Regions from separate parts of the Mus musculus genome. Here all the other regions are reported to be linked to region 6. The links are microRNA targets in miRTarBase. Many come from high-throughput screens and were not tested one by one. Region 6 holds a microRNA gene; each other region holds the end of a gene's coding sequence.
Evidence for each region. Region 6 holds the annotated microRNA mmu-miR-467f (AUAUACACACACACACCUACA, at 1,255-1,275, shown strand). A microRNA usually pairs through its seed, bases 2 to 8, with sites in the 3' UTR of a target mRNA and lowers its output. Matches are read on the target gene's strand: a 7mer-m8 pairs with bases 2 to 8, a 7mer-A1 pairs with bases 2 to 7 and ends in A, and an 8mer does both.

Region 1 (5,314 bases), not on the chromosome of region 6:
AGCACCTCAGCAGCCCCTTGAGCTCAGGACAAACATTTAACACGTGGGCTTTGGAAAGAGCCCTGCTTACCCAAACTACAGCAGTTGGTGAGCAAGGGCTGTCCCTAGCAAGACAAGATTTCATTTTTTATCTGCTGGAGGTGTGGGCCTCTCATGCTCAGGGGACAGACTGTGGTCTAGCCAGCCTGTGGACCATGTACACCCTGCCTTGTCTGCCAAACCTGAGTTTCCTTTGTCAGTGGGGTACTGGAAGTGCCTCCTCAGGTCCCAGGAGCCCGTTATGTCTGCTTCTTTCTCCTCTCCTATCCCCTGGCTAATGCCCAGTGCCTGCTTTGTCTCCCATCTCCAGGCTATGAAGGAGTGAGTGAGTTCTTTACCGACCTCCTGAACCACATTGCCACAGTTCTGCAAGGCCAGAGCACGGGAGGAGCTGCCACGGAGGAAGTGGCCCCGCTAAGGCACAACAGGCTCCTGGCGGAACCGGCAGGCAGCCTGGCTGGGGAGCGGACGTGCAGTGCCAGCCCTGGCTGCTGTGGCAGCATGAAGGGCCAGGACACACCCTGGAAGACTGAGACCGAAGCAGGCAACATGGGCGCTGGTGCTTCCGCCAAGCTGCCGCACCAGAGACTTGGCTGCACCACTGGCGTATCACCCAGCTTCCAGCAGCACTGTGTGGCCTCTCTGGCCACCAAGGCTTCCTCACAGTAGCCACAGAGCCCAGGACCCAGAGGGGCAGAGCGTGGAAAATGCCCACTGGGCCAGCAGCTCCACATGGGAACACTACTAAGAATTCCTGGTGATCTGAGGCTTCTCTGTTTTAATTTTTTACCTGATTTTCTGATGTTATGATCGGAATGAAGGGGGGGAGACAGAGCAGAACATCAAGTGGCCCAGCCTCGAGGACGCCGCCTGACTCCTGCTGTGCAGAGGTCCTCACTGAGTTTACACACGCTTGTGTTCTCAACACTAGGTCTGAATGTGAGGGGGGGGGGTGCGTGTGTGTGTGTGTGTGTGTGTGTGTGTGTGTGTGTGTGTTTGTCATGGCAAGGGTGAGTGTGCATGTCTGTCTTCATGGCTGTTGTGGGCCAGGCTCTGGGCACCGAGGAAGGAAGCCCATATCTGGCCAGGCTGTTGCAGCTAAGCAGGCGAAGGACGAACGGTTTTCCCAGTTCCCCTCCTCTTCACACCTGCCCACACCCAGACCTCACCCTCCCTCTTGTCCCAGATGTGCTCTCCTCCAAGGCTAACCCTTGCCCCCCCACCTCGCTCTCCAAAGCCAGGGAAGCAGTAGACGCCCCCTCGGGAGCTCTGCATGGAGGATCTGGGTTGTAGGAAGGGAAAGGAGCTTCCTGTGGGTGTAGCCGAAGCCCACTGGCTATTGCTAGTCTTCACTGGCTCGTGGAATACAGCAGGCCACTATCCACCCTACCCTGACCCTATTGCTCACTGAGATCCAGGAAGGAGCCATCTGACTAGGAGTCCAGGAGTCTGCCAGGACCCAGGATTTACCCTGGGACTTCCAACAGATCATTCCGTGAGTCTTCAGGCCTCCACCACCTCATCTCTTCAGGGTGGCTCCTGAAACAGAGAACTGAAGGCCTGGTCTAGTGGTCTAGCCCACGAGGATCTCTGCTTCCTCATGTCATCATCCGGTCCCTCTTTTCAGGTGAGAGGAGACCACCCACAGGGCTGCTCCTGTTCACACGCGACAGCCCCTCCTGGAACAGCAAGGCCCAGCTCCTTCCTGCTGTGTTCATAGCGAGTCCCTTGCACTGAGCACCAGGCAAGCCCCCAAGGGAGTTGTGCCCCATTTCAGACTCACTCTGACCCCACAGCAGCTGGCAGACCACCCACTGGCCCCAAAGCCCACAGGAAAGGACCCCTGTGGAGCCCCAGGTCAGCAGCCCAGGACCCCCAAGGGTGATCTTGTGTCTTAAGACATCAGCTCACTATGTAAAGAGAATGAGGCCTCTGGGTTGTCCTTAGGTCTAATAAGATAGAGTACACTAGAAGCAGCAGCCCTGGGAAGGCCACTAAGGGCCATGCAGGGGCATCCTTTGGGCAAGGAGAAGCCGATTGGCTTCCTCGGAAGCAGAGCCCCAGGACTAACCACGTTTACAGGACCTGAGTGTTGAACTGATTGATGTCTGTAAGTCACCTTCCCAGGCCTGACCCTGAAAACAGGGGGTGGGAAGCGTGGCCGCCTCTTGCACTGCTTTGTCTCCGGAATAAACTACTGAGATCAAACCGCATTCTGTACGTGGTCACAGTCTTTAAAGAGAAGACATTTAATGACAGCTTTGCCCTTTCAGAGTAGAATCACCAGACTCTGCCTTGAGAACAAGCAGAGTGGGCAGTGCTGCGTCCCCTGGAGCTCCTTCCTCTACAGGGTCACACATGGTAAACCAGCCCCGGTTATCAAGTACCTGCCTCCTGGCCAGGCAGCATTCTCCACGGGTCAGGTCTCCCGTGCAGGAATAGAGGAGGGTGGGCAGGTGAACTTTCCAGGACTGGAAACAGGAACAGAAACCTGGGCCACCTGCATTCTTGCAGACACTTTAATGATACAGAAATGGACCTTTGTAAACATTGACCCTGAACAGCACTAGTTGCTAGTGTCTGTCATCACCAAAGGAGCCGAGAGGGATCTTCCCTGGGACTGGGTCGTTGTGGGTGTCATGGAAGAGTGGGTGGGGCCTGCCACACACCATGGGTAAGCTAGCCTGGAAAATTGGACCCTCCGAATCCCCAAGGCTAAGGGGACCATCCCCTACAGCTCCATCACTGGAGGAAGAAACCACCGTGAGTGCGCATTGCCCTGAGGCTGCTGAGCATGCTCCACAGGGAGTTGGTGGGGGTGCTGGAGAGATGGCTCAGTGGTTAAGAGCGCTTGCTATGTAGTGGTGAGGTTTGGAGATCCCAGCAGCTGCATAACAAGCCAGGCATCCGCACACTAACTCCAGCTCAGGAGTGTAGGGGACAGAGACGGAGGAATCACTGGGGCTTGCTGGCTTCCAGCGTAGCTAGGAAAATATGAACCCCAAGTTCAGGGAGAAACCCTATATTAAAGCAGTGGGCAGAGAGTAATCCAGCCCTTTTTTGGTCTTGGAGCATTTATAGATAGCCCCAAAGGCCAGAGCAAGAACCTGGGTTTCTTTTTTTCATTATTATTATCAGTAGTAGTAGTAGTGGTAGTGGTAGTGGTAGTGGTAGTGGTAGTGGTAGTAGTAGTAGTAGTACACTGTAGCTGTCTTCAGACACCCCAGAAGAGGGCATCAGATCTTACGGATGGTTGTGAGCCACCATGTGGTTCCTGGGATTTGAACTCGGGACCTTCGAAAGAGCAGTCAGTGCTCTTAACTGCTGAGCCATCTCTCCAGCCCTGAAGCTGGGGCAAGTGGTGTCTGCTGGCCAGGCGTTCAGAGACAAAAGGACAATGTCATCCTTCTGACATGACCACTAGTCCTTGTCTGTAGTCGAGAGCAGTCACACTGGTTGCTGGCTGTAGAGCCACCAGATGGCTTTACTGGTGTTCTGGAAAGGGTTCCCTGCCCTTTTATATTTCTTCTCAATCAGTCACTTAGCCAGTGGGATTCCAGCAACATTCCCCACCCCAGCATGCTGGGCCTGCTGCACCTGTCACTTCAGAGCCCTGAAGCTAGCCTGAAAGAGCCTGCTCCTCCAGTGTGGATGGACAGGTGCCATGGCCCTCTGTGGGAACCCCTGGGGTCCAGGAGCCCACAGTTTGGATAGCTCTGTTGTGACTGCTGCTGCTCAGCTGGCTCCCGCTCAGATGATGGCTGTAAGGCGGCTCCACAGATTCTCCCCTCATGGTAAAGACCTATGACTCACTTCCTTTCCTCTCCCAAGCCAATGCCAGTACACTCTGGGGATGACCCCTTTCAGTGCTCTGTGCAGAGAAGGACTGACCTCCATAGCAGCATGACCCTCCTGCTTGGGTCCTCTTCCTTCTGCTTGTGACTAGGAAGTACTAGCCAGTTCTCAAGAGTCCGTTGCAGGAATGATTGAGTTTTCTGATTCCTGGGTTTAATGGCATCTTAGAAGGGCTGGCTACTTACTGCAGGACATAGGAGATAATAGTTCCCTGAGGCTCCCTAATTGACAGCTCACCCAGGGTCCATACAGAGCTTTCCTACCCCAGAAGCTGAGTTGTGTCCATGATGGCTGCAGCTTCCTCTCCCATTAATCGTGTGCACATCAGTATATCACGTACACTTGGCCCTGTACTGCCTACAAAGCTGGCTGTCAGTGCCTGCCTGGGCTGCATCTTTGCTTCCCATGATACAATGCAGGTGGCTTGCCTTTGGGATGGGGTCCTTTGGTGACATGGTGTCCGTTGCCACTTAAAGTCTTAGTTGGTGGATATTCTTGGTCTCTGGTGGCCTTGTGGGAGTTTGTGTAATTAACTATCAGGAGGCATAACATGAAGAAAGCCCCGCCTCAGCAGTGACATCATACAGATGTCTCCACCTCAGGGGCAGGCTTTCGTTGGCAGGAGAGCCTCACATAGGCTGACTGCTAAGACCACATGGTTAGCATCATCATCACCACCTGGTTTTCAGTTGAGGTACACAGAGAACGGGATGAGGTAACGTTCCTGTCTGAAGCTGACCCCAGCAGAGGCACACACAAGCCCGTCACACGAGAGGCTGCTTTGCCCATAGAAGGATGTTACTTATCCCTGAGGCCATGGGTTTCCAAAGCCAGGCTTCATCATGGGTTCCATGTGCAGGCGTGCTTGGTGAGTGACTGAATGATTGGTCCTGGTAGCCAGCATCCATAGGTGCAGTACCACATCCCAGCCTGGCCTGATTGAATAACCTACAAAAGTCTTAAGTTTGGTGTGTTGAGGCTCAGCGGTTGAGAGCACTTATTGCTCCTGCAAAGGACCTAGGTTCAGTTCCCAGCATCCACATGGTGGTTCACAACCATCCATAACTTCAGTTACACGGGACCCAAAGGCACCAGACAGCACATGGTGCACAGGCATGCAGGTAAAACACACATAAAATAAATAAATCTAAAAAAGAAAAAAAAAAGTTTGGTGGTATGTCAGTAGGGCTGTGGTAGTGCACGCCTTTAATCTCAGCACTTGCAGAGGCAGGTAGGTGGATCTCTGAGTTCTAGGCCAGCTAGTTCCTGGACAGCCAAGTCTACACAAAGAAACCCTGTCTTGGAAAAACATAAAGGGGGGGGGGGGGTCAGCTCTACCTGTGACTTCAATGTGCCGTTTTATCTTCCCTGCCTGTTTCCCTCTTTAAAAATTGGACCTAAGACCTGCTATTTTCTAGTA
Region 2 (5,314 bases), not on the chromosome of region 6:
TGTGAGCACACTGTTATTAATTAATTATATGTGAGTACACTGTAGCTGTCTTCAAACACACCAGAAGAGAGCATCAGATTTCAATACGGATGGTTGTGAGCTACCATGTGGTTGCTGGGATTTGAACTTGACCTTCAGAAGTCGTCAGTGCTCTTAGAGTGGCTGAGCCGTCTCTCCTGCCCCTATTATTTTTTGAGGCAGGGTTTCCCTGCAGAGCCCTGTACCCAGAGACCAAGAAGTGCCACAGCCTTCCAGGTGCACCCACCCTCATCATTTCTCCAGAAGCCAACTGCCTGTCAGCTATTTTATTTCCCGGTGTTCTACTCCGGACCAGAATGTTACCATTCGGTGACAACCCAGCACATTATCAACTGTTCCCTGTAGAAGCTGGGTTGTTCATTATTTTGTCTTCAACTCAGGCCCCCTGCCCACATCTGGACACGCTTCTGTCCAGGCATGTCCCGAGTTTCTGACGTAACTCTGAGAGCTACTGTCTGAGCCTTGTGCCTTCTTTCCTTCATTTTGAACATAAGTGGTGAAAATGAGTCACAGGAATTGTGCACAGGAGAATGCCTTTCTATTTTCATACTTCTGAAGTAAGAGCAGGTGTTATTGATTTGAACATTAACATTCATCTTTCCATATTAGGGACTGGTCTGGTTAAAAGACAAAGATGCAACCCACTGTAAGCTTTGTGAGAAGGAATTTTCACTCTCCAAAAGAAAGGTAGGTAAGAGAAGTGAAAATGATTCCAAACGTTGTGGCAACAAAAATGGCTTCTAATTTGGTTTTATTTTCCCCGGATTTTTCCATTTAATAGCACCACTGTAGAAACTGCGGAGAAATTTTCTGTAATGCCTGCTCTGACAACGAGCTGCCTTTGCCTTCTTCACCAAAGCCAGTGCGAGTCTGTGATTCCTGCCATGCAATGCTCATTCAGAGATGCTCCTCTAACATGCCATGACTTGGAACTCCATTCTCCTGCACAGCACCACCTGCAGCGAGGGAGGGCTGTGTGCCCAGTCAGTACTGTACCTTGCCTCCAGCTCACAAACAGGTTTCTAAGTTATATGGGTTAGTATTCCGTCCCTGTACTTAATCAGATTTTAAGATAGCATGTTTTAGCACTACTTCAACTATCAAGTAACCTTTAACAAAAGGTCAGATAGCAGAGCTAATGCACATTTGCCTTACCTTATAGAGGCCTTTTTGAGAACAAGGCCACAGCTTATTTGCTTCTGAACTGATGAGTAGGCACTTGAAGGTGCCTGTCTCTTAATGCACTTTAGAAAGCGTCACAATTCTCAGAGAAAAACTGGAAATGCATTCACTTTATGTTATATGCCGATTTAACGGTTTTTAAAATGGTGGCCCACGCCTTCAATCCCAGCACTTAGATGCAGAGGCAGGTGGATGGATCTGAGTTCAGTAAGGCCACCCTGGTAGAAAGAGGAAGTTCCAGTCAGGACAGCCAGACTGTCCAGGAAGACAGACTGAATCAAAGTTGTTTATTTTTTACCATAAGCTGTCTTGCCTAAGCTCTGAAGTGCTGGGATATAGGTGTGTGCTTCCATCCCAGGTCTGTGTAGTCTTCATTGTCTGGTAAGATGCTAATTTAGTTGTATTTATTTGCTTGTTCTTCTCCCTTCTCTACAATGGAAAAGACCAATGATTTAATCCCTTCCTTTCCTTTTTACTTGCCCACATCTTTCATATAGTGGACTAAAGGACCAGTGGTCTGGCCTCTAGCTTTTCCTTCACTTATAATCATCATCCTTATCACAAATACTAATTTTTATAAAGGGTCAGATTCCAAAGGAGAAAACATTCCTACCCAGGGAACAAGGGGACCGAATGAGACCACAGGCCTTTAAAGATTGATTCTAAGCATTAAAATTAAGAGGACTGCTATGAAAGAATTAAGTTTCTCCACCCTCAGTTCTCTTAAGAATAACTTCTAGGAAGCATTACACTGGCATATTTACGCTTGCCCACAGTAGAATTTCACCCTCTATGTGTATTAGGTACTTTAGATAGTAGCTCCTTATTTTTTCAAGCGGGGGTGTGTGTGGGAGACACGGAGCATTAAGTTACTTAAATCATGACCATTTAGGATAGGATCTTTAATATATTAATTTCCAGCCTTATACTTTTAAGTCTATAAAGCCTTTCAAAACTCTAGTGATTTTACACTCCCAAGAACACTGCTCAGTGACTGGGTATTTTTCTGATCCCCTTTTCTGCAGGATCTTTTCATTTGCTACATTTCAGTAAGTTTTTGTAAATTGCCAAAATTACAAAACCAGTATTTACCAGCTTCTGTGGTCAACTTAAATTCACTCCGACAGATTTCTAGATGTTTCTTTTGGAGACAGGGAAACCCCAAGTTGGCCTCCAACCTGGTGTGCAGCAGGGGAAGACCTTGAACTGCCTGACTTCCACATCTCCCAGCTGCTGAGATTACAGCTGTTGAGTGTTTGTATGTGGTGCTGGGGATGGAGCCCCTGATACTTTGTACACATTGGCCAGGTACTCTACTAACTCAGTTACTCTCCCAACCCCAGATGTCATTATATATATATATATATATGTATGTATGTATGTGTGTGTGTGTATATATATATATATATATATATATATATATATATATATATATATATATATATATATATATATAGTGAAAACCTGCTGGCACACACACAAAAAAGAGACAATTTAACTGCTTTGTACTGATGGGGATTACTAGCATCTTTCTTTCTTTCTTTCTTTTTTTTTTTTTGAGTGTAAATGAAAAACTTCAAATACTTTATTATGTGCTTTTTATTACCACTCAAAATTTGTGTCATAAACATGGGCCTTTTCTGGAGCAGCACTAACGAGTTCCCCTGCTGTGTGTGAGATAAGAATAGAGCTGAGTGGTAGAATGGTTGCTTATCGTGGCTATTAAGGGCCTGGATTCTCAATTCACAGCACTACCACCAAAAAACATAAAACCACCCAACTTTAAATTTAGGATATCCTATTTATTACATAACATTCACAATTCTTATTTTGCAGAAAACTCGTGTCATTCCCTTACTTACCTAGCCAGTACTACCACAAAGATGTGATCATGGTGCCAAGGAATTGCAAATGTAATTCTGATCTGTAATGTTTTTAAAATAAATGTGAATTTTATAAATCGAAGATCTAAGAAATTAACACTTACTTATATTGCTTTAAAAGACTTGTTTGTATCTGCTTATGTGTGTGTGAATGTGTGCCATGTGTGTGCAGGTGACCAACGAGGCCAGGAAAAGGCATTGGACTTAAGCGAGGCTGATCACCTGATGTGGGTGCTGGGAACCAAACGGCCCTCTGAAAGAGCAGCGAGTACTCTTTATTTATTTATGTATATGAGTACACTGTAGCTGACTTCAGACACACCAGAAGAGGGCAACAGATCCTGTTACAGAGGGCTGAGCCTCCGTGTGGTTGCTGGGAATTGAACGCAGGACCTGGAAGAGCAGCCAGTGCTTTAACCGCCGAGCATCTCTCCAGCCCGCAGCACGTACTCTTAACCACTCTACCTACTGAAGTACTCTTTAGCCACCTGCTTTGAGATGTAAGAAGCTTGAAGTGCTTGTGACTTCTGTGCGAGGTGTGCAGGCACCAAGTTAAACCCATTAAGACAGAAACTCACTGTTTCAGGCCGACAGGCTCCAAGTGACATGCTGTGGCAACTCTCTCTTCTTAGCATGGGGGAAAAAAAAATCACGCCTTTGTAGTTACTTGATCAGAAACCTCAATTTGGCATCCAACAGTATATTGCCTTTGCTTCCCAAATGCTGGGATTAAAGGCATGGTGATACTTGATACCAATAACTAACACAACATATTCTAGGACAGACAACATTCCCATGTTGACATTTATTACATTAATAACATATCTAGCAAAAAACAAGTAACTCAATAACTGAGATCACACTGACAGGTTCATTTTGATCCATTAGCCAATTTGGGGAAAAGTCTTATTGAGCAAAGTAATAAAAAGATTAGTAGAAAGCACGTTTTCCTTCTACACAGGGCACTTAACTACTCAAAGCCAGTTTCAGACGCAAAACCAGCTACAGCATTGTTTTATAGTCTCCTAAATGTAGTCATTTATACCATTATAAAGACCCTGTTTTCTTGGGTGAGAAACTGAAAATACAAGTAAGCATATACCCATTATAGTAAATGCCCGTGTATTTACAGAGTTTTTCTGTCATTATTAAGAATTTCAAACTACTCCAACAAACTCAAGTTTTGGGAACCATTTTTGGTATCTTAGTCAAGTGCTATGAGGGTTTTATACCCCTACCCCCATTCATAATACAATTTGTGAATATTTAGAATCCAGATACGTCTTGAATTATTCAGAGCTATGCTTGATAAAAGAGACCGAAAAGAATACAGAATTAGCTTATGTTCCTGAAACCACCTGAACGTATCTTTAGGCTTTTTATTTACAGTATGTCCAGGGGTGAAAGGTAGTGCTACCCTAGATGCCTACTTAAGACTCGCTGTCTTGCCCTCTATCACTGCACTATGCTAACAGTAAGATACATTATCCCAAATCTTATGAAGGCAGCACATCTTTAGGAGTACCTATATATAAAAAGTAGCAACATCAGTGGTTTGAATATAAAAATTTATTTAAGTCAAAGTATGCAACAAATGAAACAACCTACAGAAAACAGATTTTCCCATCGCAGTCTGTTGCTTTACCAAATAATATAACACATTCCTTCAGTCGTTATAAAGTTCTTGAAATACAAAAGAAATGAAATCTGTAAGAAAGTCTAGTAGAGCAGGTGTGTTAGGACGTGTACGTTGGGGTGGTGTTGTCAGTACATCCCACGCCATCCACCTCCACTCATTCCACCTTGCCCATAGTAACCTCCACTGCCTCCACCACCACGACCTTAAGAAGACAGTAAGAACCGTCCATCAGGAGACATCCATGTCTTTAAATGAAGGACACTACCACAATACAGAAACAACTACTTACCATAGCCTCCCAAGCCATCAGGAGCACCGTAGCCTCCGCTGTAGCTGTTCCCCATCCCCATTCTCCCAACAGACCCGTATCCTCCTTGATTATCTGCACACAGAAAAGAAGCCACAGAGGATGACTGCCTTGTGGAGTGGCCAACACTTGCTCATTCTACACAATTTACAAACCTAGGTTTGGAAGGATATGCTGAAGCATCAAGGAGAATTGTGAGTTTTGGGCCATCCTGTGTTACAGTGAGGTGCTACCCATCACAAATACAAAACTATACATACCCAT
Region 3 (5,314 bases), not on the chromosome of region 6:
TCGTGTGTCGTTCACCGAAGCACTCTGTGGTAGTGCCTCGGTGAATCAGATTCGGCGAATTAAGGATGCTTTTCCTGCCTGCGCCACTGACATCGCAGTTTTTCCCAGTTTTCCCCACTGCCTGGCCGCATCGGTGTAGCAAAGAACACGCTGCATGGTTTGAAGACACGCTGCCTCCTAAGAGGATGACACATCGCCACCTCTTGTCTTTTCAGAGCAAAACCTGGAGCGGCAGGTGCTGCAGACGCAGTGCCGGCGGTTGGAGGCGCAGAACTACAGCCTCAGCCTGACTGCGGAGCAGCTGTCTCACAGCATGGCGGTGAGTCGGCCATGGGCTTTGTACAGGCACCCCCAGAGAGGACAGGTCTGCTCCCGAGAAATCAGAACTCAGTGCCAGGCATACTCGCCATGCTTTAGCCCCCAGGGGACAGGCAGATCTGGGAGGTTGAGGTCAGTTGGGGTCAGCCTGGGACGCATAGTAAGGTCCTGTGTTAGGAATAAAGAGATGTTATCTGAGGAGAGGCCCTTGTGCCCGCCCCAGGGTGGGCACATGTGCGGGGCCGGTCGGACCTGGGATTCAGAGCCTGAGCTGAGGCAGCAGTACACACTGGTTCTCTGGGAGCCTGTGGTGCCGGAAGAATGTTCTAGCAACCTCCAGAGGTCACTCACGCTGCTGTGTGTACAGATGGTTCTGACGCGCATCTTCTCCCCAGGAGCTTCGGAGTCAGAAACAGAAGATGGTCTCTGAGCGGGAGCGGCTCCAGGCGGAGCTGGACCACTTGCGGAAGTGCCTTGCCTTGCCCACCATGCACTGGCCTAGGGGCTACTTTAAGGGATATCCGAGGTGACGGTTTCCCTTGCACTAGGCTGAACCTATAGTATAGAAATATTATCTATTTTATTACCTTGAATATTTAATATTTTTCACTGGGAGGTTTGAAGCTTACAAATTGAGAACGTGCCATGCATGAAACAAAGGGTTCCAGGCTCCAGAGAGGAGATCACCTCGACGCCAATGTCACCGAGGCACCTGTCTCAGCTAGGACTCAGTTTCTCTTTCTGAGGTCGGCGTTATTTCCTCTCTCCCCCCACGTCATCCTCCTCCGACACTGACGTCCACCGTGCATGTGGCTGAGGGAGAGAGCCAGCTGGTTGTTTCTGGTATAGCTGTGCCACGAGAGCCCAGCTTGCTGTTGCTGCGGCCCTGGGGTTTAACCTCTTCCTGCCAGGAGCGGGACTAATGCGCCGGGAAGGCTGGGTGCGTACAAGCAAAGGGCTCCCCATCAGTCCCGTCCGTCTGTCGCCTTCCCGCAAGCGTCATCATCGAAGCCACTGCTCCTGGGAGCACACAAGCTTCTCCCTGGAACAGCTCTTAGGAAAAGAGGCAAACCCACACCCAAAAGTACCTTGTTTTCCTTGGGGAAGATGCGTGGAGCTGTCCACAGATAGCCTACCCACTGGATTGCTACCGCCGTGTGTGGTGTTTTCATACAAACGTACGTTTTGAGAGAAAAGTCAAAGGTGCTTCAGCCTTGTACTGTGTATATATTAAAAAAAAAGTTTTGTATGTTTTTATTACTTTAATTATTGTTATAAAAAGCCTGCCATTTTTAATATGTGGTTTGGGGAATTTTGTTTGTTTTTCCTGTTTGGGGGTTTTCTTTGGTTTTTTTGTTTGTTTGTTTCTGTTTTTCTGGATTTAAAAAAAAAGAAAACCTTGCTTTTAGTGTTTGTACTGCTGCTGGTCAGAATGTTGTTAACTGCTCAGTTCTAGGAAGCAGGAGAGCTCGCTTGTGCAGTGTCCCACACAGCAGGGCTGAGGGGCCTAGGGCTGCCTGCTCTCCAAAGCAGATGACCCATGTGCGGCAGGGACTCGGCAAAGCTGTGAGGAGCTGAGCTCCGGAGACAGGCACAGCTCTGGCAGAAAGCTCAACGCTAAGGGATCTCCTTCCCAGTTTCAGCACTTCAGTCAGGGCTGACCAACTTGAAAAGAGCCTCCGACTGTCCTCCATCGGACAGGGGAAGAGGAGGCCGAGCCCACCCTTAGCCACCAGGCTCAGTGGCTGTACAGAGCAGCTGGCTGACATCTGTCCCTGCTCCACCCCTGCCCCTACCCGCACCCCTCTGGTTCTCAGCAAACTCAGACAAGGCAGTGCCACCAGGCCTGTCAGCAAAGCACCTTCCTCTGCCCACAGCCAGTCAGAGAAAACGATCCAAAGGAGGGCAGAGGCCGCACACCCTGGGCCGAGTCCTGCCCGACTTCCCAGTTAAATGCTGCTTGTGCCCAGTGCTGCTTTCCCAAGCTCACCCCACCTCCATGACTAGAAGCTTCTGCAAATCTGCTTGGTAAATGTCTCCTGGGAAAGGCAGAACCCATAACTTAAAGACACGCACAGTCCCTTCCATTGTCCCACAGGAGTTCCTCTGGCTGAGTATGCCATCCAGAGCAAGCGATGCCCTCCCAGGTCAGTCTGGGGCACAAGCTGAGCCGCTGACTAGCAATGCCTACAGCCTTTCCCAATGCCCTTGCCTGCCCTGGAGCTTCTAGGGCCACCTCTAGCATCTGGAGACCGAATATCCCCATGCTCAGAAGTAAAGTGACAATCAGAACCAGGTACAAGCCAGTAAAGCGGCAGATGACTGCCACTCAGCCCACATACGGCATTCTTCCCATCCCACAGTCTTAGAGCCAGATGAGGCTAACAAGACCACAGTAGCCCCCTTCCCAGGTACCACACTGTCCCTGGAGATCCCTCCAGCCTAGCCCTGCTATAGATCTGCTCTAGACTGTGAAATCAGCATGTATGTGAAAAATCCCAGTCCTTGACCATGTCTCCCACTCCACCTGCAAGTGATTGCTGCCATCTGTCCTGGGTGGGATGCACCGAGCTAGTCACGGGTGTCGGATCAGATCTTTTAAAAACACTTGTCTCATGTAATTGAGACCCGCCACCATCGCAGATGAGTGACAAGAGAGAAGGCTGTCAACACTTCGGTACATGGTGATCTTAAAAACACCCACCTGCACCATCACACCAGACTGTACCACTAGGGCATCCAGAACAAGCCCCACCCTAACAGTGGGGGCAGGGAGGGTACAGCCAGGCTCACAGCACTGAGAGTCTCAACCAGCTAAGCTAAATTGCAAGCTAGATGCCTCCTGCCCCTGCCCTCAGCTGCCCAGGCCCCAGCATGGAGATGGCCTGCACAGCAGGCTCAGCACCTCTGAGGTGTGCATTAGCCACTTATAGCAGCAGTCTGTACTCTTTCAAGTACGCAAGCTTTGACTTCACTACTTGCTGTAGCCTGTCCCCACTGTCTATCCAGTGCTTACTTCAACCCTAGAGGCTGCCTTGACCCGAGGAGGCATCTCACTGGTTCCGTACTTGTGTGTGCCCTACGCCTCACTGCTGGGGCCCTGGACCCAGACCCAGGCAGGAGGGCCGACGGGTGCCTCGGTCGCTCTGGGGGCAGTTTAGATGCTGTGAAATTAAACCCGTTCTAAGTGTACTTGTTTGAATTAACTGTATTGTAATATTATTTGTTGAATGTAGTAATTAGGTATTTATGAATATATTGCTGTAATTTCTGACATCCCGAAAAATAAAATCTTCCTAAATCATGTTAAGACGAAATTCATCTTTTTGTATCACCACCCCCACCCTCACGCTCAGCCTCAACTACATACAGCTTTCCACGGGCCAAGCTTGAAGACACTTGAGCTGAGCTGGCCCGAACACTCGCTGTGCTTGGCGTGCAGTCCTTGGGTGGAAGAGAAAGGCTGGCGGCTTCTCTGTTCAATGGAGTTGAACTTGCAGTATGGCTGACCTCTGACAAAGACGGGCAGCAACCTTACCAGTGTTCCACACTCTTCCCCCAATCTCCGCCACACAGGGCACACAGCAGGGTTTGCACAGCAGAGGCCTCTGGCTAGAAGTCCTGCGACTGGGTGCTCTCGGAGGGCTGGAGGTTTGTGCGGAGCTTGTACATGTGGTTGAGGGCCTGGGTGAGGAAGGCCCCGCTGCTGCTGATCTCCATCAAGGTCAGGTTGTCCAGCTGAAACACAAAAGCAAGTGAGCGGAGGAAGTCTTGGCTTTAAGGCAAAGCTAGACTGCTCAACCGTGAGTTGTTGGCTCCTGGTACTGAGGGTGTAGGCAGGCTCTGAGAGCCAAACCCCCAAGTCCCAGTGAGCCACTGCTCAAAGCACAGCTTCAAATCCCTGTTTCATGCTGAGCAGGCAGCATGGCCTGACAGCTCCCTGGGAAGCGGTCACACTGGCAGGCAGTGCCCACTGGCACCGGGCAGGGACAGGAGAACCATGCCTACCTTGGCATGTGCCTCTTGCTGCCGCACAAAACTGTCAGCAGACACTCGAAGCTTGGCCATGCGTGTGTCCCACAGGTCTTTGATCAGTGTCCGGATGGTGTCTGCTTTGGGGATGTTGTCAGAAGCACTGAAGATAAAGAGGCAGAAATATAGAGGCACTCAGTAAGTTTACCGGGGACAGGCAGAAATGGCTGCTTCAAACAGCAGCATAGGGGCAGGACAGCCTAGCAGTTAGTGCTTTGTGCCCTTCCCGAGGATACCAGTTCCACTGACAGCATCCAGCGGGCAATGCCCGACTGCTTATACCAAGATACAATGCATCCTAGCCTCTGTGGACCCGGAACGTGAAGTCGGTCACAGCCACATGCACAGAAACGAATCTTTGTAAACGAAGCTTGAGCACATGACTGTGACCCTAGAACTCAGAAGGATGAAGCCAGGAGAATCAGAAGTTCAAGGATACATAGAGACTCCGTTTGAAAGGGGTCGGGGGAGCCTCGCACAGACTTGAGAGAATCCTGGGGCTCTGTTCTTTCCTTGGGTTAGGATGTCGGCAGGTAAAGCTTAGCAGCCATGGCCAGTGGCTACACAGAATGACAGAGCAGTGACGTACTAAAAGCCAGGAGTGGAAATTATAATCCCAGCACGTGGACATACATGCAGGATAGTACAAATCTTGTAGACAATAACACACTGGAGGGGCTAGAGACAGCTCAGCAGTTACCAGCACATACTGCTCTTGAAAGGACCTAAATCAGTTCCCAGCAACCTCCGTGGAGCAGCTAACAACCGCCTGAAATTCCAGCTTCAAGAGATCCAATTCGCTCTTGTTTCCTTGGGCACTGCACTTACACACACATAACCACACAGACACAAACACATGGAATTAAAAAGGAATAAGAATATGTCTTTAAATGAAAACTGAGAAATTGGACAGTTGGGACACTCCCTTCAGGATAACAACAGCCTCTGCTGTGTAATTTATCTC
Region 4 (5,314 bases), not on the chromosome of region 6:
GAGAGAATTATTGAGAACCTGGGAAGTGGAAAACTTTGAAGAGCAAGGATCTTTCAGTTGTTTGATCTAAGTGAAGTTGACTACGGTTAAGTGAGCTCCAACTCTCTATGGTCACCCCATAGGGTCTTATTTGATGCTTGGTCCCTGGTTGGTGGTAGGAAAGATTAGTATGTGTAACCTTGGAGGAGATGTGTCACTGCAGTTGGGCTTTGAGATTTCCAAAACCTACACCATTCCCAATCTCTCAATCTGGATTTATGAATCAGATGTAAGCTCTCAGCTACTCCTCTAGTGTCATGCCTGCTCTCATTCCTTCCTACCATAATGGTCATTGACTACCTCTCTAAAACTTTAAGCAAGCCCCCAATTAGATGCTTTTTTCTATAAGTTGCCTTGGTCATGGTGTTTCTTTACAGCAACAAAACAGTAATTAAGACAGTTGTTTTGTTTCTTATAATTTCTAACACCAAAAAAATGCATTTTAAAATATTTTTATCTTATTATTGTATGTATGTGAGTATAGCCATGTATGTGTTATAGCTCAGTATGAAGGACAGAAGACAACTGTCCAGAGTTGGTTCAGGCCTTCCACCATGGATTCTAGGAATCAGAGTATAAAAAAGGCCTATGCCACATAGCCACCTCTGGCACTTGCTGTTCCCTAGTGTAAGTTCAGTTAAAGAAGGTTCTCTCCTCTCTTTTTCAGGGTGCTGATAAGACTGTGAAAGGCCCAGATGGACTGACCGCCCTTGAAGCCACTGACAACCAGGCAATCAAAGCTCTTCTCCAGTGATAGATGGATGGACGGACTGATAACTTGGGAAGGATGACTCTCCTGTGGCCTCACACTGCTGCCTGTCTGTCTGTCACTTTCTATCTGCCAGCTTCTTCAGCTAAATACTTTAAGAGGGTGAAGGGAGAGAGAAATTCATAACAAATCAGACTGCCAGGGGAGGGGAATAAAACATGTTTTGGAGGAGCAGTGGGGAATGTGATGAGACTTTTACTGGGATTCCTGATCAAACCAGCCTGTTTTTCATTTCCAGTAAAATATACAGCTTATTCCCAAGGGAGAGCAAAAATACAGTCTATTGGAATCATTGGACCTTCTCAGCTCCCTAGCTAATTTATTAATTAGTTTATTGAAGGTCTGACTATACAAGGCCAACTCTACTTATTTGGTAGCCCTAGCTGTGAGCAGTAGTGGCTGCTGTTATGTCAACATAGGGTGCTGAGATAAGCAATTAGCTATAGCCTTCTGCCTTAAGAATGCACTCTCCTGGGGGCTCCTGGCTAGTTAAGAGCGGTTAGTGACCAAAATCTCTCTAGAATGACGTTAATCTTTACATAAGAGCTTAGATAAGGTAAGGAGCAGCGCACTCCTGAATTGCTGGATGACTAAACTTTGGATTTTCTCTCCCCTTTCACATCAATTTCATGTCTCTTTAGATAAAACTGACTAGTTTTATTTATAAAATGTTAAATTCTAGGAGCCTAAAGGAGGAATCATTCCAGTAGGCTTATTTCTTTTTTTCTCCTTTAGACTCAGACATTTATATAACATTGAAACACTTTGAGACTCCTTCTGGTAGTAAAGGAGATTTAAAAATAAAATCATAGCCATAAGCGTGTTAGTATCTTATAAAGAGAGAACAGTTGTCTTAGTACCTATGGAGTTTCTTCATTTGCTATTTGAGTGAGCCAGCCTTCGTTGTGTTTGGAGAATGAAGAATATTCTTTGGAATGCCTCTCAAAAACCCACCATGGATGCTGATTTTATAGTGCACCAAAGGTATCACTGGGGTGAGATGTACTGTATTTGGACAGATGGGACCTCATCCCTTCAAAAACATTCTTGTTACCATGTTCTCCTGAGCTGGTAATAGACTCTTGCTGGGCCAGTACCACCCCACCTGCATGGTGTTTTTATCTTAACAATCATTCTTTGCATACATGTGACAACTTCAAAATGCATTCTGTGTTCTTATAATACAGTGCCCTAAAACGGTATTCCTAGGACCTGCAGATAAGAGAAACTTATCTCTAACTTTTTCTTTCATGAACAATAAAATGAATTAAAACATACAACCTTAAATTTGATGGCCTACACTTTAAGTATTAAGATGTCTTTTGCTTTTAATTTGCCATCTATACAGGATTACAAAAACTATTAGAATCTTTCCATAGCCAATCATGCAATAATTGAATGTACCTCAAATTTTTAAAGGGTAGGTGATGGGATAGGGACTTATAATCACATTAGGGATAATAATATTAAAAACCTAACTGATTTTTTTTAAGGCATTGTAGCATTATATAGCAGGGTTAAACTATTACTAAGAACAATCAGCCTGGCTAATAACTATTAATCAGTTGATAATTGGTTGGGGTGTGTGTGTGTGTGTGTGTGTGTGTGTGTGTGTGTGTGTGTGTTCTCCCATGAACTCTTTTTTATCCTGTGGCTTTTTCACTTTCAACTAGCCTGCCCCTGTAGTTTTTCTATGTCCAAGAAAACAATCACAAAACAGTAGTTTAAATACTTTGATATATTTGGCTAGCTCTGCTGTTTTAATGCAGCCTACTAGAGTTGGATATCCTACACTTAATCTTAACCAAAAGGCCAAGCAGCTATAGAGTTGGACATTCTGCTAGGAAGTGGAAGGCACATGATCAGTCTATGAGTCAATATAATGCAACAGGGTGTTTTGAGACCTTTGTTTTCACCTCTTGGCATACTATTTTAAAGGCTTGAATTTTACCCTTTACACAATTTTCAATTTTTCTTTCAAAGTCTTCTGTTATAGTTGGCTATTGCAGAGTGTATATTGTCTTATCATTCCAGAACTTGGGTCTGCTTTCTACAGTCATTATGGTACCAAAACCATATGATTCTTTGTACAGTTTATCCCAGTGTTCCTTGTAATGCAGTAGAGGCTATTTTGCCTTCCCCCTTTGTTGGCCATTTTGTAAACCCATAGCTATGAAGTGATTGCTTGAGAAAATAGCATATAAACATAGACTAGGATAGACTGACCAGGATGGTTTACAGTTTCTTTAAAAAAATAATAAACAAAAATAAACAAAAAAAAAACTAGGTTATTTATAATGTATTTCTGAACCACTTGGCAGAGAAATTCATGACACTTAATGTTAATATTTTTGAATAAATGAAGCTAAAATGTCTGCTTTTGGTACAACACGCATTAATAAAAGGTTAAGTTTTGTTTTCCACTGAAGTACTATTTAACATCTCAGAAAAAAACCCTGCATGTTCTATAGTTTTATATTAAAATCCATCATTTCATATGCACTGTATCAAAAACAGGTTACTTGCCTGAACATGGTTAGTGTACTAACAGGTCTGCCCACCCCTACCCTCACCCCCAGCTTCATGCCAGCATATGTAGATTTGAGTTCTAACACAGCACTTGCATATCCCATGTGCACAAGCTCACCTTTCCAGAACCAGCTGGGCGCAGAAGAAAGGCAGTAACTGCAGCATGTGAAAGCTAAAACAAGTAGCCTTCTAGTCATTTCTTTCTTTCCCCAGCCAGATAAAAGGAGCTTCAATATATGTGTACTTGATTTTTATTCACTTCAGCTGAGCTGCTGTTTCCTTCATGTAATATTGTATACTGGGTTGTGTATAGAAGAAGCTGGTAAGAGTGCCCTCCTTCATAAATAAGCAATTGCAGTGTTTTGCATGCAAATTTAAAAAAATTTAAATTGTCCTGATTCTATTTTGTAAATGGAGAAACAATCTTTCTAAGCAGTATGGAGGAAGACTAGTGCTTTGTGCACTTTTGGTATATTTGAGTTCATGTTTCCACAATGTCATTCCCTTGACACAGTTGGGTTTCTCATAAGTATCCTAGTTCATGTACATCCGAATGCTAACTAATACTGTGTTTAAGTTTCGTGTTGCAAGAACAAATGGAATAAACTTGAATTGTGCTATAGATAACATGTTAGCAACATATTTATCCCCAGTCACTGTTGCCTTCCTTTCCAGACGTCCTTAACGATATGAAAATCTTGACTAACTTGAGATTTTAATACCATTTTATCCTACTTCTAGAAGAAATGAAGAAACCAATTATTAAAGAGCTAACGATACTAGATGCTGCTCATAGAAAAGCTTTTTTTTTTAACTTCAATATAAGTTTTCTGATACACATTGTTGCTGTATATGGGTCCAGGAAGCCTCCTATTAACTGAGAACAAGACACAGCCAGTAGAGCATCAGAGTTTTGATTAATGTTGAAAATCGGATGATGGGCTGTGCTCCTGAGCCTTTCATTGCTCAGGTTGCTGCTTGTTTCCTAGAGAACTACATTTTAGAGTGTACTTTTCTGCTTGAACGCTCTCTTTGAATCTCAAAACTGTACCAGATTATAGATGAAATTGGTTTGAGTCTATTGAAGTCTTGTTGATACCAGAAGACTTATTAAAGGTACCCATTAATTAAAATCAAGAAACAAAACACATAAGTGCTAAGATACTGCAAGCCCTATTGTTGACTAAAGTATAAAGAGCTGATATAGCTTAGGGTAAATGTATTCACAGAATTTTTTTCAGATAAAATTTTCATTTTAAGAATCAAAGTCTATACGAAAAGGCTTCAGTCTGATTAAATGCACTATAAAGGGAATAGAGCCTCTTATATAACACTTTAAGAGCAAACTGGTAGGTGTGGGTGGAAGGCATACCTGCAAAGAAAAGTGAGTTTAACACATCATTTCTTTTGTCTTTAGAGAGCAGCTACACAGAACTTTCCCACTGCACAGTATAGTATTCTCCATCTGTCTTCAGGGTCTCTGAATGTGGTTCCTAGCCAGCCACATTGCCACAACTTTAAAAATTATGATATAAATGCAAATTTAACAAATCCCAACTGAGACCTATTTAATCAACTTTGGGGCTGGACTTCTGGGGGATTTTGATGTACACTGAGGAGAAAGAACCCTGAAAAGAGCCATAAAGAGAGAACTCATCAAATAGGATCATCATCAGACATGGTTCCCAGGGTAAGGAATAGATGGTCATTGTGAATGAAGTTCTCTACACCCAAGAAAATTTAAAATGAGCTTAAGGATTATCTCTTGGCCGAAAGGTTAAACTATGAACCTAAGGATGTATAGTGCTGAGAAAGATTCTTTATTTTTTTTAGTAATGTATGTCATACCAGTTCTCGTCAGTATTTCTGTAGTTCATAAGCCAGAAGTTACAATCTCCACAGCTGAATTCCTGAGACCTGTGCCTTACCCAAGCTCCCCCCTCCCTTTTTTAAGTCTCCCAATCCCCAAAAACAGAA
Region 5 (5,314 bases), not on the chromosome of region 6:
GGCCTACGGGAACCTACACCCACAACCACTGCAGGACTCACCAAAGCGCTTTGACGTAGAGGTGTCGGTGCTGGGCTCTGAAGCCTTCAGTAGCGGTGTCCACTACTGGGAGGTGGTGGTGGCGGAGAAGACCCAGTGGGTGATTGGGCTGGCCCATGAGGCTGCCAGTCGCAAAGGCAGCATCCAGATTCAGCCTAGCCGCGGCTTCTACTGCATCGTTATGCATGACGGTAACCAGTACAGCGCCTGCACAGAGCCCTGGACTAGGCTCAACGTCCGTGACAAGCTTGACAAGGTGGGCGTCTTCCTGGACTATGACCAGGGCCTCCTCATCTTCTACAACGCCGATGACATGTCCTGGCTCTACACCTTCCGAGAGAAGTTTCCTGGCAAGCTCTGCTCCTACTTCAGCCCCGGCCAGAGCCACGCCAATGGCAAGAACGTCCAACCACTGCGGATCAACACCGTCCGCATCTAATCTGGGCAGAGGGAGACCAAAGCCTCCTGGGGCTGTGACCACCAGCAAGAGCCTTGCCTGACAGATGGAGGACCTGGACTGCTCAGGCCCACTGTGGCCACCCTGAGACCTCAGGCCAACTGTTTGTCCCCTCCTCCTCCCCTTCTGCGAGCTGGAGATTGCACTCCGTGGTTGATGCCCTGTGGCTCTGATCTTAATGGGATGTGACATGGCTTCTCCCCAGGGCAGCCCTTGCCCAACCCCTCATCCCCATTCTCTCAGGAACAGGGAAGCTCTCTGTTCCCCTCCTCCTGCCCAGCTAACCTAGCATCGTGACAGGTCAGATGTGATCAGTAGCTAGCAGCCCAAAAGGTATACAAAATCCTCTTATGCCTAAGAATTGACTCACCCTTGACCAGGAGAGCTATGGGCCATTTTACTTTGGATCCAATTCCTTAGGGGAGCTTGGCAGAAGCTGGATTATTTGAGAGTCACCCTCTCTTGCTACCCGTGCTCCAAGCCGAGAACTGTGGGTTTCCTCCTCTCTCACTGATCTGCAAGTCACACAAGACAGGTAGCTCACAACATACCATTACCTTCTAGCCCATGGATTCTGGGGCAGAGTGAGGTATAAGGACCCTAGAAACCCATATAGAAGAACACCATCAGGACAAAGCACCAATGGATGATCCAAGTCCCCAACAGCCCCTGGGGACAGAGGTCCTACAATCCTCATCACACAGGTCTCTGACCTACTGCATGGACGGAGAGGGTGCTGGCAGCAGCTTTTTTTCCGTCAGGACCTGAAGCCCAGGAGATTGTTATCGGGTACCACCCTGGACTTGACATCTGGCTCCCTTAGGATCCTGAGGCACAAACAATAGCCGCCTTAGTTGACTTCATCAGACAAGAATTTGCAGTCAGCTCCCTGGTGACTTGCAAGATCACTGAAAGGGATGGAAGAGGACAGCCTTTGCCAGAGTTTCCAGGAACAGCTCCCACCATCTAGAGGGTTTGTGTCTTGTGACCAGAATGGTGCTTCCATTTGCAGCTGCCCCACAAGCTGCTGGCTGCCACCATCCACGCCAGAAAGTTATTGTCCGTGTCTGTCCCACCACACCACACCCCCCAACTCGGGTCCCAGTTCTACATCTTTCAGAGGGATTCTTTTTGTGGAAACTTGAGTCCAGAACCTAGACTTTGACTGCAAAGCACTCTGAGAAATGTAGTTTTTCCTCTTCCAGCCTCAGCCACAAAGTTATCATGGAGGTGGAATAGATCCATCCACAATTTCCTTGCCAATGAATCCAACTGTGAAGAACTCAGGAGAATCCATGAATCCACCTGAAGGCCTTGGCTTTGAAACAGAACTGCTAAAAATGTCCTGCTCCGTGACTCTGTCCCTGCCTGTCCCTGCCTGTCCCTGCCTGTCCCTGCCCAGAGGCAACAACTTAGGGAATCAGTAGCATCAGAAATAGAGACAAAATGACTTCCCAGCCTGGGCCTTCCTTTGTTGCCCCAGGTCCTCAATTCTGTACTTGGGATTCAGTGAGCATGTCCATCTCCGGTGAGCCAGAATATGAACTTGAGGGGTTCTCACTCACAACTGCCATGTGCTAGCCCCCCCTGAGCAAGAAGAATCCTGAGTCCTGCTCTTCCTCTCAACTCCCAGACACCAGGCCACGCCTGGCAGTATTTTTATTTAAAACATGGCCCCTTTTGTGCATTCTGATCAGTTTGTATTAAATTAAAGTTACAGGGCACAGGTGTACGTTCCATTCATTCCGACGAACGCAAAGCGATGTTCCACCCTCAGGAAGGGGACAGTCATTGGCACGGCCAGTCCAGTTCCCCAAGGCAGCCCTGCTGGATACAGATCAGGAGCACAGTGAAGTCCAGAGAGAGGATGTGACGGCTGAGAAGCCCACAGCCCACACTGGACAGTGAGATCTGAGTTCTCGGCCAGCACCCTCATCAATCAGGGAAGACCTCGTCTCTGCCTAGGGGAGAATGGGTGTCTTAGTCAGGGTTTCTATTCCTGCACAAACATCATAACCAAGAAGCAAGTTGGGGAGGAAAGGGTTTATTCGGCTTACACTTCCATGCTGCTGTTCATCACCAAGGAAGTCAGGACTGGAACCCAAGCAGGTCAGAAACCAGGAGCTGATGCAGAGGCCATGGAGGGATGTTCTTTACTGGCTTGCTCAGCCTGCTCTCTTATAGAACCAAGACTACTAGCCAGAGATGGTCCCACCCACAAGGGGCCTTTCCCCCTTGATCACTAATTGAGAAAATGCCTTACAGTTGGATCTCATGGAGGCATTTCCTCAACTGAAGCTCCCTTCTCTGTGATAACTCCAGCTGGGTCAAGTTGACACAAAACTAGCCAGTACAACGGGGTAGCCAGGAAGGCAGAAAAGAGTCTGGTCTCTTAAACTATATAGGCTTGGGCTCTATCAGGCTTCACTCTAGGAAAAACAACTTAACCTCGTGGGGCCTCAATGACTCCCCTCGGAGAATGGGGCTAATAGCTTGCAGTTCACATGTTTTACTAGGAAGCTGTAAAATGTACAGTCACGGAGGCCCTGCCTCTCCTCCACTGCCTCCTGCAGTCACACCCGAAACAACATAGACATTCTAACCTGCGCTACCTTGACCAGTGAGAAGTCCACCTTTCTCCTGTACGCTGTGCGGAGCATGGGACAAGGTACACAGAGAAGGAGGTCCTGCCTCTAAGTGATGGGGAAGCAGCCCGGCCAAAGTCCAGCAGGGCCCTGCCCATGAGCGCTCACTCACTCAGGCTGTGACCATGGTGAGCCAGAGGTCTGCCTGGTCCTCTACAGCTCTGCAATGTAAGAACAGGAATCTCGGGGTCTAATCCTGGCTTTTCATTGATTCGTGCTACCGTAAAGTGATATTTCTTCCTCTCCTTACTCGAAGACTAGATCAGACCCTCTCAGATACCAGCTGTGTCTTTGTATGGTAGAGGTAGGATGAAAAACTCCATACTAGGTCCTGGATTGTTTCTAGGCAGAGGGACATGGTGTGTGTGTGTGTGTGTGTGTGTGTGTGTGTGTGTGTGTATGCGTGCGCGCACTAGAGACCAAAAAAATTCAGCACTGGTGTACTGGCTAGTTTTGTGTCAACTTGACACAGCTGGAGTTATCACAGAGAAAGGAGCTTCAGTTGAGGAAATGCCTCCATGAGATCAAACTGTAAGGCATTTTCTCAATTAGTGATCAAGGGGGAAAGGCCCCTTGTGGGTGGGACCATCTCTGGGTTTTATAAGAGAGCAGGCTGAGCAAGCCAGGGGAGGCAAGCCAGTAAAGAACATCCCTCCATGGCCTCTGCATCTGCTCCTGCTTTCTGACCTGCTTGAGTTCCAGTCCTGACTTCCTTGGTGATGAACAGCAGTATGGAAGTGTAAGCCGAATAAACCCTTTCCACCCCAACTTGCTTCTTGGTCATGATGTTTGTGCAGGAATAGAAACCCTGACTAAGACAACTGGAGTCAGAAGCCTGGACTACAGAGTGAGACTTGGGGAAAGGATATGGGGAAGGAATACAGGGAAGGGGATCTTGGGATTGTCAGGATCACAACGCAGTTGAGAGGGGAGGCTGCAGGGAAGGACTAATTGATTGTCTCGGGCTCATTGTGGGTCCCCATACACGGCCTGTAAGCAAAGTGCTAGTACACTTTACATTTCATCTAGCCACAGAGAGGAGCCCATGAGGATAGTGTCATTATCTTAGCGTTAGAACCACGAAGCAACGCTTCCCAGGGGATCCACAGCTGTTCCTCGGCAGGGCTAGTAGCAGGCCCGTTATCACTAAAGCCACACTCCACTGGACCTCTCTGGAGGGATGTTCTCTACGCTGAGGACTGCTCCGTGATGGGCAGCCACCAGGACTAGGCTCCTGGGCTTCAGAGGGGCTTTGAACCAAGGTCCCTATGGTTTAAAGCTCATGAAGCCCACTGTGTGACTTTGAGCAGGTTCCTTACCCTCGCTGGCCTCAGTTTCCCCATGTCTACTGGGGAGAGTTCAGAGATCACCTCGATTACCAGGGTAAGTGAAATATTGGGTCCCACAGCTTGGACTATTTGGTCCCCAATAAATGAGGCTATTATCTCTTTGTCCCTCTCTCTGGGGTGGTGGCAGAGACAGAAAACAACAAAGATAAAGTCTCTTGGCAGTACCCAGCTCACCTCAGAGGCTCTGGGGACAGGCCTTTCCTCCTGCCAGGGAGGCCATCCCAAGAGGCCGACTGCTCACATGGACAGATTCCTCCCCTCCTGCCTGGGTCTCTCAGCTCTGTTCAACAGCCCCAAGCTCACCACCAGCTCAGCTAGAACCAGGACCACCACACCAAGAGGTCGGTTGCAAAGGCCTGAGTCACGGGCTTAAATCCTGGGGGCTGGGTGAAGGCCAAGGGGGAGGAGATGGGAGCTGGCCGAGGTGCTGAACCAGATCCTAACTGTCCACTAGGTCCTAATTCTGCAAATTCTGGACCACCTGAAGGAGGAAGGGTCTTGAGAGGCAGGACAGAAGTGGGCTGCACAGAAATACCAGGGGAAAGACCAATGCCTTTCTTTTGAAATGCTCATTTTCTCTTCTGTATGTGTGTATGTATATATATATATTTGCCCTAAATACAGAACAGTCTTCCAGTAGTTGGGGAGATAGCTCAGTGGGCAAAGCGCTTGTGGTGCAAGCATGAGAACATGGATATGAATCCGTAGAACACACACCAAAGCTAAGAGCATCAGCCCATATCTGTAGGCCCAGCACCAGGGAGAGTGGGGGGAGACTGGCAGATCTTGATAAGACTCTATCTCAAAACTAAGATGGAGAACAA
Region 6 (5,206 bases):
GGGAGGAAGGGAAAGGGAAAGGAAGAAAGAAGGAAGAGATCGGAGGAGGGCTACCTGGCTGAGGATGTACTTCAGTGGAAGGCTAAGATGAGACCTCAAGTTCAAGGTTAGCCTTATCAACAAAGCAAGGCTATACAATAAGACCCCATCTTAACAGGTTGGTGGTGGCCTAAACCTTCCAAGGCCAGCCTAGCCTACAGAGTGAGTTCCAGGGCAACACAGGATATCCTGCCCCCCACCCCAAAAAAAAACAACAAAAGACAGAGGCAGGCGGGTTTCTGAGTTTGAGGCTAGCCTGGTCTACAGAATGAGTTACAGGACAGCCAGGGCTACACAGAAAAACCTTGTTTCAAAAAACAAACAAAAACAAAACAAAACACATTATGAAGCTGGGGTTGATGGTGTGCACCTGTAATCCCAGGTCTTAGGAAAGGCCACAGTAAACCAGGAGTCCAAGGTCATCCCGGGTTAAAAGCCCAAGCCACCTGAAACCACCTTAACAAAACACATCACATCCTGACAGAAAAGCCAAGTTTGATAGGATAATTCTAAAATAACTTAGACCTCAGATCTGATATTTACTGGCTCTAGAAAAATCACAGTAAAACAGTTTTGTGAGAGGAGAAAAGAATCTCCCCAAACGTAAAAGATCTAAAAAGTTAGTATCCCTTACTCACACCAAAGTTTGCTGAGTCATAAATATTAATCAGCAAGGTTTGAATAGGTAAGTATCTACATTACACTTAGGCAATGTCTTTAACTCAGTCATGGAGCAGAAAGTGCTGAAGTGGCCAGAATACAAAATCTACACTCAATATTTGGCTTTTATTAACTCTATACTATCAAAGAATCCTGTCCCTGCTTCCCTCAAATCTATCACTGCTCTGGCCCACAGAATAAAAGGATAAAAGAGAGACTTTCTGTTGGATACCCATATGTGTAACAGAATTCATGTCCCAGCCCAACCATGTCATACAGTTAATTGGAACTGAGCACTCATCTGTCCCAGCTGTGCATGGCTCCTGAGCTTCCTTAAACCAAATGCAAATATCTTATCTTGATCTCATACTCAATTTAAGAACCACTTTTCAAACTAAGAGTAGTTGTGGATGCTTTTAATCCCAGCACTCAACAAAGGCAGACCTATCCCACAGAGTTTGAGTTCAGGGCAGCCACGGCTACATAGAGAAATCCTGTACCCAGAAATCGAACGGGGGTGGGTGTGTGTGTAGGTGTGTGTGTGTGTATGTATGTATATACACACACACACCTACACACAGCTTTTTTGGAATTTTTAACATTTTGATGTTAGAAGGATACAGATGAAGACTAACATATCGAGGAAAAGAGAGCATAATAAAGAGTACTTTTTGGGTTTGTTTGGGTTGTTTTAGACTGGATTCCATTCCCCATGCTGGTTTTGAACTTCAACAATCCTACTTTAGCCTTCTAAGTACTAGGGTTAGAGTATGTACCACCATACCCAGCCTGAGGAGACTGTTTTAACAAAGGTAATACAAATGTGGGTGAAATAGATATTAAAACATTAATGTGTCCTCTCAGAAGCCAAAAGAATTAAAGACTTTTGCTACAGAAAACAGAAATGTTAGAGACACTGTTCTGGTCTGAAGAAAAAGTACCAAGAGTTAGGAAAGTGACAGAATCAGCTAGGAGCCTTCTTCAGCTATACACAGACTAGACAGGTAGACATCATCAAGGATACACAGGAATACAGAAATACCAAGCTAAAAAGACCGAGACTTAGTTGAGAAGCTGCATTAAAGCTAATAGGTATGTGCACCCATAGGCACTGGGTAAAGAACTTGATCAGAAAAGGGAAAAAAATGGCCTGGCCTTTATAATGGATAACTAGCATATCAGTTGAAGTGAGGGTAGGAACCATCTACAGGGGTAGGGCAAACCTAAGTCTTTTTTCAGCTACAAAAAAGATACAATTTCATAGTAGAGTCAGAGAAAGTTATTTCCAAGGGCATAAGAAAGTAGAAGTTCTACTAGGGTAGGGGGACAGACAACCTGAGGAAACCTGAAGAAAAAGGGGCTCTTCTCACCCATCTCATGCTATGGAAATTCCTCTTTCTCTCCAGGATGAAGAGTAAGAGAGGGACCAAACGTGTCCGGGACAATTCCACTCATAAAAGTCAAAAGATGTTCAGAACCCCACTGATCAGAAGAAGAAAATATCTGGGGCGTGGGATCCAGAATAGACTCAGGACAGATACAGAAGATGGGGTGGGTGGTGGATAGAAAGAAGGAAAAAACAAAAGTCTGGTCTGGCATGGTGGCTCAACCAGTAACGCCAGAGCTGTAATCCTAGGCTGAGGAAGAGTTCAAGTGCAGCCAGGGAGGGGATCTTGTCCCAACCACACCCCTTAAAAAAGTTCACAGGAATCAAATCTTAGGCAAAGAAAAAGCTGATTAAAGAAGCAATTCTGAAAGATACTTTTTTTCTTTCCAGAAGGATTGTCAACAAGCAGAAATCTGTTAGAATAAGAACTTGTTGAGATGGCCTTTGAGAGACAGTGAAGCTTAAACTTACCAAGAAGATAGAGGAATGACCTAAATATATCTAGAGTCAAAGAGATAAGCGTGAATCCATCCCTCATAGGTGATTTTGGAATATAGGTGTGGTGGGTGACAAACTTGTCCAACAAATCCACTTTATGGCTGGCTGATAAAAACCTGAGGCCAAAGATGCTAATGCTAAATAACACAGATGGGTTTTGACCATTTCTTGTCAGCCTGGGAACAGGAATTTAAGACCAAAAGTTGAGCAAATGGTCTAGAGCCAGTAGGCAGAAGGCTCCCTGAAGACCTAATGTGGGACAGTGGACCTTCCCAAGGGGGTCATGTAGGAAAAGAATGCGAATCCTCCATGTGCTTGGGCTGCAGGGGTGATGTGATTAAAAGCTGAAGTATCGCCTACACTAAAAAAAAAAAAAAAAAAAAAAAAAAAAAAAAAAAAAAAAAACAAGAAAAGTCGATTAGAAGCTAGGAAAAGGGCTTTCTCCAAAGGGACCCGGGGCTCCCATCCCCGCACAGGAATGACCTGATGGCCATGTTTTCAGCTGATAAAAGCAGGTGTAACAGCGAGCTCAAAATAAAAGCACGAGGGTTAACTCCCACGATCGCCACGGGAGGGTTTCGAGTGGGAACGTGGGTCGAAGGTTCTAAGGGTCAAGACCAAGCTCCAGAAACTCGATCCCGCTCCACTCTTCCCTGCCTCGGCTGGGGGAGGGGGCTAAGGAGGGTGGCCCGGGTCGACGCGCCGTCTCACCTTGTAGAAGGCCCCGTTGGAGCCCCGCACCTCGACGGGCAGTCCCGGCTCCACATCCCCCCCAGAGGCCAGGCCGCCCATGGCGCCGCCACCACCTCCGACTGGCCCGGCAGCAGCTGAAACAGAGCCCTGAGTGCGGGCCGGGCCGGGTCCCCGGCGTCTCCCTGGAGGAGGAGCCGGAGGGGGAGCCGCGGGGGGCGGGAGCCGGGCCGGCCCCACGGCGGCCCTGCTACAGCCGACGAGCAGGGGGCCGGGGCCGGGCCGCTCCCCGTCCGCCGCCGCCGCCGCTGCCTTGGTCTCCGCCACCGTGAGGGAAACGGCCGCCGCCGCCGCCGCCGCCTTCGTCACCTCAGCTTCCGCCCGCCGGCGCCCCCGCTGCTGCCTCGGTCCCGGGACCCGCCGCTGCCGCTCCACGGCCTCCACCTCCCCCTGCTGCCGCCGCCTACTGCGCAGGCGCACAGGGCACCCGCCCGCCGCGCGCGGAGCCGGAGGGCCAAGGCGCAGGCGTCTAGGCTAGCGACCCAGCTCCCGCTCGCCAGCGCGTCAGGGCTTCCACATTCTCTTGCACTCTCTCACGCCCCCTCCTGGTCGCCTCTCTGCGCTTGCGCAGAACGAGGCGAACGCTCTCTGTACCACTCCAACCTTCCACTGTCCCTGTCCCTTCCTTTCCCCGCCCCACAACACTGGAAGCAAACCAATCAAAGGGAGAGGGGGGCCGCGCTCGCTGCATCGGATTGGACTTCCGCCTCCACAAAGTGAGCCCCATGGAGCCTGGGCAATTTAGGGATGGGCATGCGCCCGAATGACTGCTTGGTCACTTTCACCACCTTTGTCTTTCTTGGTGCGCACACTCCAAAAAGGGGGGGGGGGGGGGAACCAAAAGGCAAAAACTGCCCAGTGCGCAGGCGCTGGGCTTTGGTGTCCATGCGCATGTGTTGACTCTCTGCATCCATAGGAGAATCAAGAGTCACTGTTGTTGGCTTAAGTAGACTTTTTTTTTTTTTTTTTTTTTTTTTTTTTTTAAGTTTTGTGAGACAGGGTCTCTTGTGTCCTAGGCTGACCATGAACTAACTAGGTAGTGGGGGAATGACCTTGAATAGGTCCTCCAACCTCCACCTCCCAAGTGCAAAAATTACAGCCATGTCATTACCATGCTTGCCCTAAGTTGACTAGTATTCTAGTAAATTTAGTGCCGTATGAAAAACAAAATGCCACATAACTTGATGCATAAATTCTGAGGGGATTCAATACAGGAAAAACTGTCATGGAGTAACAAAAGAGAGAGAGAGAGATGGCTCGAATACGAAGCTTAACGGGAATTGTATTCCTAGACCACAAAATGGAAGGAGATATCCTCCTGCAAGTTGTCTCCTGAACATCATACATATAACATCACTCGTGGTCACCCACACGTATAACAGATTTTTTTTTTTTTTTTGTAAAAATAAGGGGTGTGAGGTGGAGAGATGGCTCAGTGGTTAAGAGCACTGACTACTCTTCCAGAGGTATTGAGTTAAATTCCCAGCAACCCCATGGTGGCTCACAATCATCTATAATGGGAACTGGTACCCTATTCTGGTGTATTTGAAAACAGCAATAGTGTACTCATATACATTAAATAAATACTTAACAAAATAAAATAGGATCAGTGTTCAAACTACAGGTTGTGTCGTCAAGATTTAAGCTGCCACCACAATGATTGAGGCTGCTAACAACAACCTTCTTGGAAAGGAAGTCAGGGTTAAATGCAACACAGATGACACCATCAGAAACTTGAAGAACTTGATAGCGGCCCAATGGTACAGGAGTTTGAAGGACCACGTGTCTCTGGGAGATTATCAAATCCACAGTGGGATGAACCAGAGCTCTGTGACCAAGAAAGGGAGATTCCTCCTCCTCCCCCAGCCCTGC

Region 1: the mRNA of Itpk1 is a reported target of mmu-miR-467f. The part of its 3' UTR that is shown has no 7-base or 8-base seed match.
Region 2: the mRNA of Rufy2 is a reported target of mmu-miR-467f. Seed matches in the 3' UTR shown: 7mer-m8 at 2,611-2,617.
Region 3: the mRNA of Gse1 is a reported target of mmu-miR-467f. Seed matches in the 3' UTR shown: 7mer-m8 at 1,540-1,546.
Region 4: miRTarBase lists Mtpn as a target of mmu-miR-467f. Seed matches in the 3' UTR shown: 7mer-m8 at 2,819-2,825 and 7mer-m8 at 3,643-3,649.
Region 5: miRTarBase lists Trim62 as a target of mmu-miR-467f. The part of its 3' UTR that is shown has no 7-base or 8-base seed match.

Annotation. Positions count from the first base shown.
Region 1 is chr12:102,565,520-102,570,833 of GRCm38, reverse strand. Itpk1 (inositol 1,3,4-triphosphate 5/6 kinase) reads left to right here. Exons shown (of 10, transcript NM_172584.3): 10 at 350-2,251. The coding sequence ends at 708. Among named protein-coding and RNA genes, the nearest start is that of Chga, 13 kb to the right of the region's middle.
Region 2 is chr10:63,010,770-63,016,083 of GRCm38, forward strand. Rufy2 (RUN and FYVE domain-containing 2) reads left to right here. Exons shown (of 18, transcript NM_027425.4): 17 at 649-726; 18 at 821-5,314. The coding sequence ends at 964. Hnrnph3 (heterogeneous nuclear ribonucleoprotein H3) reads right to left here. Exons shown (of 10, transcript NM_001079824.1): 8 at 5,311-5,314; 9 at 5,033-5,125; 10 at 3,895-4,945. The coding sequence ends at 4,869. Among named protein-coding and RNA genes, the nearest start is that of Hnrnph3, 10 kb to the right of the region's middle.
Region 3 is chr8:120,577,756-120,583,069 of GRCm38, forward strand. It overlaps Gse1 (genetic suppressor element 1, coiled-coil protein), which reads left to right. Exons shown (of 16, transcript NM_001145896.1): 15 at 216-319; 16 at 714-3,628. The coding sequence ends at 848. Gins2 (GINS complex subunit 2 (Psf2 homolog)) reads right to left here. Exons shown (of 5, transcript NM_178856.1): 4 at 4,327-4,453; 5 at 3,511-4,056. The coding sequence ends at 3,931. Among named protein-coding and RNA genes, the nearest start is that of Gins2, 8.7 kb to the right of the region's middle.
Region 4 is chr6:35,507,710-35,513,023 of GRCm38, reverse strand. It overlaps Mtpn (myotrophin), which reads left to right. Exons shown (of 4, transcript NM_008098.4): 4 at 707-4,200. The coding sequence ends at 793. Among named protein-coding and RNA genes, the nearest start is that of Mtpn, 30 kb to the left of the region's middle.
Region 5 is chr4:128,909,109-128,914,422 of GRCm38, forward strand. Trim62 (tripartite motif-containing 62) reads left to right here. Exons shown (of 5, transcript NM_178110.3): 5 at 1-2,218. The coding sequence ends at 478. Among named protein-coding and RNA genes, the nearest start is that of Gm33901, 5.6 kb to the right of the region's middle.
Region 6 is chr11:69,631,488-69,636,693 of GRCm38, reverse strand. Mir467f (microRNA 467f) reads left to right here and starts at 1,175; the gene lies at 1,175-1,294. It overlaps Fxr2 (fragile X mental retardation, autosomal homolog 2), which reads right to left and starts at 3,723. Exons shown (of 17, transcript NM_011814.2): 1 at 3,296-3,723. The coding sequence starts at 3,376.